Saccharomyces cerevisiae S288C: one gene and its partner. The gene in region 2 interacts genetically with the main gene of each other region. Each region holds a gene or a part of one and is shown on either strand. Other genes may lie near its edges.

Region 1 (2,849 bases), on a different chromosome or scaffold from region 2:
ACTACGAGGAGAACCCCTCCACGTATACAACGAAACTAGTGGATCTGATAAAAGTGTCATTTTGCCGACGAAACAAAAATCTGCTCCCATTAACAAGGATAGTAAGCACAGTTCAACTCAGTATGAAGAAAAATCTTTTAAGAAGAATAGAAAGTTCAAAATTTTCGCCAAGTTATTCTGCACTAGGAAATAGTAGAATAAATTTAAGATATATAGACCACTCGATACCCCATCACCTGCATAATTATAGAAAAAATAAATACTAATAGATACCCGATTTATAACACTAGACATTACAATATACGAATTTCATAATAAAATTTTAAGTTCAGACTATAGATAAATAAATAATATGAAGTAAACGTTTCAAGCAAACGCTTATATATATATAGAGAGATAATAAAGGATATGATTTAGTCTCTGTCCCTTCTTTCAAATGAATATTTAATGCCTTTTTTTTTTCGGGTTGTGTGTTCGTGGTGATTTTTTTATTCTTCTTTTCATTTGGAGACCTCTATGTTGTCTAACTCGTCCTTCTCCTTAGCTGCAGCTTCAGCTTCTAATATGTATGGCAACAGGTAAGGAACATCCTCTTGGGCTTTGATCCATTCGTTTCTTGGCAGTAAATGATGAGTCAACTCGGTTTGATGAGCCCTGATTATTCTATATGCTCTGGCATAAGATTCATCTTCAGGGAGTCTTCTTAAAGCGGTCTGCATGATGGGATTTTCCTCTGCAATTAAGTCGTCAAATTTGAGCCCTAACTTCTTGTAACCTGCGAGGTTAATGAACTGATTGGCAACTGGAACACATAACTTGGAGAGGACGGGTGACTTCAAAATATAGTCACCAATTCTCGCAATAGACGTAAAAGACTGTGGCATTTTGTTCTTTCTGGAACGTTTAATTACAGTTACTAATATTCTGATAAATTGTCCAACAACAACCTTTACTGCTATTTTTCCAAGCTTTTACATCTCTTCCCTTTTATTACTGCTCTATGAAAGTAAATTGTCAGGCCCCCCGCCGGGGTGACCCGATAAAAAGCGCGTCGCTCCTGATTGGTCAAAACAAGATCACAGCGCAGTTACACATCTATAGACAATGTACATATGGCTAATAGACCTTAATAGTGATACTCTGTTGGTTTTTGGCCTGCTGTGTTGGGGAAACCGCATTGCAGTAACGACTTGTCCACAAGATGAGGATCTTCAGTGAGGTTCTCTAGTTTTTCTCTGTCTTTAACGAGGATCATACCACAGTACCCCGTGGAGTTAATGTTTAACATCAATGGCGGTCCACTCTTGGCATGCGATCTTGGAACTACACAGATCCATTTCTTGGTCAGTAGCACATTGTATGACTTGGTCAACTCCGGAGACTCATTGGTCCAATCTTGGAAAAATGTAAGTGCTCTCTGCATCAAAGATACGTAACACATAGCAAGAAGATCTTCGTCCACTTGATCAGACGATTCCGGCAGCGGCAAGACGAAATGAGCAAAGGAAACCTTATCATCTTGTAATGGCTCTGCGTTGAAGGTGGGCAAGAAATGATCCTTTCCGTTGCACAATACGTCCTGAAAAGGTATAAATTTTTCAGGCATTTGCATGATCTGCAAGTGTTTGTGATCTTGTGAGGAACCGCTATGAGGTCCACAATTATAAAAGACCAGATACCTTTCACAAGTGACATCATCGTCCTTGTCTCCTTGGAGAGAACAGAGCACATTATAAGCAGTCATCAAGTCACTTGGCGTCAAAGCAGATCTCTGGTCTTTAAACTCGCTTGTCACTAGGAGACTATGTTCAGGGACCACAGGAAATTTGTTGAGTAGCAGCTTATATTCTCCGTCACCATTTAGATCTTCAGTCACCACTAGTTCTTCGTCGGGATTGGCGAACGGGTCCTCCGCCTTTGAATCGCTATTCTTGTTAGCGTCTGGCTTAAGTGCCAAAGATGGAGCAAATGTCACCCAATATTGTGTCGTCGTTTGAGGATCTTTCAACTTCTTGGATTCTGCATGCGTTACTTTCAGATGCCCATTCTTTTTGGCTGCAACGAACTTATCGTGGATTTTCTGTTTCAAATTCTCTTCAATCATCTTTGTCTTCCTATTTTCTCTGACCCAGGGGCTCGGTTGCCTTTTAATTTTATTATATTTCAATAGTTCAACACATTTTCGAAACAGGCAAAAGCTTTACACGTGACGTTGGTATGATCGAGTATTATTCATATGGTCGTTCATGATTGCGTATTTACGACAGTATCTCAAAAAGTTTCACTCAAATGCGGAGAACTATCCGCGATCTACGCATTGAGCTCCTTTAGTTTGTAATTGCCGGGACCGATTTTTTTTTTTTTACTTCTGACTGTTCCACTTAGGAATCTTACATGACGTTAAACGACTAGCGCAGTTCCCCCAATATCGGCCGAAATTTTATTTCACCAACATAACGATGAGTAAAAAGAACTTATGTTTCTGAACAGATTGATCATTAAAACTAAAAAACTACCAGAATAAAGAAATTTATAGTTCCAATTGAGTGCATGCGAAAAGAATCGCAATGCCGCGAATTACTCAAGAGATATCTTACAATTGCGATTATGGCGACAATACTTTCAACCTTGCTATTGATATAGGAGGCACTCTGGCTAAAGTAGTCTTCTCGCCTATACACAGTAACAGGCTGATGTTCTACACCATTGAAACAGAGAAAATTGACAAGTTCATGGAACTTCTGCATTCTATTATCAAAGAACATAACAATGGATGCTATAGAATGACTCATATAATTGCCACTGGTGGTGGCGCCTTCAAGTTTTATGATTTGTTGTATGAAAATTTT
Region 2 (3,369 bases):
TGGTACTTTTGGAGGCGAATACAAACTTTCATCAGGAACAGAAGGAATAACCGCTGAAGATCTTCCATGTGTAATAATTGAAGATGGCCCAATTCCTATCATGGGTGACATCACTGCAAGTGGATGTTCACTTGGTTCTACAATTGCTTCCTTTATCGGTGGGTTAGATTCCACTGGAAAACTGTTTGATGCTGTGGTTGGTGCTGTCCTATTATACAAATCAGCTGGTAAGTTGGCTTCCACCCGTTGTCAAGGAAGTGGTTCATTCCATGTCGAATTGATTGACGCATTATATCAATTATTCCATGAAAATAAACCAGAAAAGTGGTCCGCTTCTTTGAAGAAATTCAAATAAACTATTTACAACGTAATGATTTTATAAACTGATTAAATAAGGAAGAAAGCCCAAAAAATTGGAAAAAACTTAAGGAATTTGTGCGGATAGTATCTGAAGAATAAATAAGTGTTTTCATAAGTTTTGAAGTTACAAACTAGCTCGTTTAGTTTGTATATGACAGCCTACTTCTCTCGCTTGGTAAGGTTTTAGGATCCTTGTCTAGAGCTTCATATTTTGCAATGGTCTTGGCCTTCAACTCTTCCTCTTGCTTTGGTGTCAGTTTTTCGACCTTCACCCCAGGAGGAACAAACTTGAATTTACCTGTGGCAAACTCTCTGTCTGATAACCTGCTTAGAACATATAGTTGAGAATAAATGTATCTCACAACAGACTCTAAATGAACCATATCAATGTTCTTTCTTCCACCAAAAAGATTTCTCCAGACAGCTGTCGCAAGTGTACCATCATCTGTAGCAAATCCTTCATCATATGCAAATATCGCTCCTCTTAATTGCGTATTGAAATCTTTCAAATATTGATCTGCGATTCTACCAGAATTAACTTTCATTTCCTCGAATAATCTCAGCTCAATGTCAGAAAATGTTCTATCTACCAATTTCTGCTGATAGTTTCTGCCGTATTTGAAAGGCATGGCTCTCATACGTACAAAAAGTATCCACTCGTGCAATACAGTGATTTGAAACCATTGTGAAAAAGTACGTGGTAGCTTCAAATCCTCGTAAAAGTATTTAGCAGTTTCTGATAATGGCTCGTCCTCGTATTGTAAACCTTGCTCTTTACAAATTTTATAATAGTAAGATCCTGCAACGGGCCCTGCCCTCACTCTATCCATATCTAAATGAAATGCTCGAATTACTAGTTCACCCAAGGCTTCTTTCCATTTGGGAAGTTCGTACTTTGACGATTCATATTTACTATGAGCTAGAGGAATTTTATTCTGAGCAGTTTTCACTGGTGCTTTATTGCTTACATCTAGTGGTTTCGAATTCAGATGTGAGCTTTTTGCTAAAAGCTCTGGCGAATCTTGTGCAGTTTCTTTATTTTGCTTGAAAACACATGTTTGATGCAAATAAGCTCTCGAGTAGTAAAAAGGGGACTTTCTAAGGAAAACAGGGAGTCGACCTGAAGTAAATCTATTGACTGACATCATCAAGTGTTGGAATAGCTGAAGAGATTGTTACGGAGATCATAGTGTTTGCTAAATATTAATCTTACTAATGCGTCAGTCGAGGACCAATTTTGACGTTGTTTTCCTTGCTGGCTATAAATTCAGAAGAACGCCGGGTAAAGCCTAAATACAACTCCAGTCAGACGCCCTGAAATGGGCCAATTTATATACGAGGAATAATGAATGGTGAAGATTAAATAGTAAAAGATATTTCTAATATCTTTCTAAGGCGTATACAGGAAGAGTGATTTGAACTGCAGAGTTGTTTCTAGTTGCGTTCTTCATCCTCTCGTCGTCTTGAAATAAGTTGACATTCAATCTCCTCTAATATACCCTGCACATCAAGATGTGCAGCTTTATCTACTCGTTGAGAACTTATCCCATAGCCTGAAACATGACTAATATGCTTATACCTCTGATGATTTAAAAGCTTCGTAAGAATATCCTCTTGCCTTTTTCTTTTCGTTTCAACTATAAATTCGAGGTCTATCGTCCTCAATTGTTCGAAATGAAAATTCAAAGGATAAATCAAATTTTGTTGCTTTTTGAGAAGTGCTCTTTCACATTCTCCAAGGTGAGCTACGTCTTTTAAAATCGCTTCCAAAACGAGATCATTCTTTGTCCTTGATAGTTTTTTGGAAATTTTCTCCATGTTGGAAAAATGTTGGCCGTTGGATGTACAAGTTGTCTCAATTCTTTTCAGTTCAGGAAACGTGAACTCGTTATTTTTCAAAAGTTTGTGATTTTTTTTGAAGGTTTCATCACATTCAATACGCCTTTTAATTTTGAACTGTTGCTTGTATGATACTTCAATACGGTCCATTTTGGATGTCAAAGCTTTCTTCAATTGTCCCTCATTTTCTCTTAAATCATCCAACCTATCTACTAACATATGTATATCTTCTATATCGTTGAAGAAAGCCCATTGATGATGAGAGAGTAGGAGCTTTTCTGGAGTTTCTGATATAATTTTTTTGTCTATGAATGCCGGAATAGTTGGCCTCATTAAGATACCGTTTGAATTAATTATCATGAAATTCTCACCTTGAGCAATTTGATAGTAAGACCCGTCTGTCGACCTAAATATTGAAAAGACTTCTTTTGTCGCGTAGGCAGTACCTTTTGCTTTAGCTAACAACTCCCATTTTTTCAAAGATTCGACGTCGACATCTAAGCAAAAGTTTATATCCGCTTCAGAGGGTCCTTGAACCCACAAAAAACAGCAGTTGTAAAGTTCCTCATTTTTTTCACTGATGGCTGATGACGATCCATTTGAGTCCATCCAATAATATCGATTTCCATTTCTATCTTTACCCAAAATCTCTAGTCTCTTGATATCGCTCTGAATCAATTTTGCCTCTAGGAAGGCGATATCTTCCATTAAGTATGCAATTTTCACTTTAAGGGCATTGACCTTACCTTTACATTCATCTGATCCATATCGGTTCATTGAAACGTTGCTGTGAAGCTTCACGCGATTTTTGGTTAACGTTTTTAGTTGCCGTTTCAATTTGATATACTCTTTTTTTGCACTATCCAACTTTAAGCGGATTCCATTGCACAGTTTTGGTACTTTATCTACCAACTCCTTAATATAACTCGAGAAATTGGACGCAAAATCTACGAGAACCCATAAAACATCAATTTTATCTTTTATAGATAATCTCTTGCGAAAGTTATCCCAGAGCTCATCACCTAAATTTACAAAATTCATGGATAAAGGTAGTATTTTTTTTGTGATACATTTTGCGACATCACTATATGCTATCATATGTGTATTCTGTTGCAAGATTCCAAGGAGACAGATCAACCAATTGCCGTTGCTAAAGTTTTTATTGTGCAA

The links.
Region 1: of CBP3 (region 2) and QCR7, changing one suppresses a phenotype caused by changing the other (phenotypic suppression), as found in Saccharomyces cerevisiae (one study listed by BioGRID).

Annotation. Positions count from the first base shown.
Region 1 is NC_001136.10:1,495,665-1,498,513, forward strand, and holds QCR7 (ubiquinol--cytochrome-c reductase subunit 7), read right to left. Parts: upstream 885-2,849; coding exon 501-884; downstream 1-500. Other genes in the region: HLR1 (Hlr1p), read left to right, coding at 1-193; APA2 (bifunctional AP-4-A phosphorylase/ADP sulfurylase), read right to left, coding at 1,127-2,104; CAB1 (pantothenate kinase), read left to right, coding at 2,568-2,849. UniProt on the Saccharomyces cerevisiae protein: Component of the ubiquinol-cytochrome c oxidoreductase, a multisubunit transmembrane complex that is part of the mitochondrial electron transport chain which drives oxidative phosphorylation.
Region 2 is NC_001148.4:145,555-148,923, reverse strand, and holds CBP3 (Cbp3p), read right to left. Parts: upstream 1,509-3,369; coding exon 501-1,508; downstream 1-500. Other genes in the region: THI6 (bifunctional hydroxyethylthiazole kinase/thiamine-phosphate diphosphorylase), read left to right, coding at 1-355; YPL216W (uncharacterized protein), read right to left, coding at 1,795-3,369. UniProt on the Saccharomyces cerevisiae protein: Chaperone required for the assembly of ubiquinol-cytochrome c reductase of the mitochondrial respiratory chain.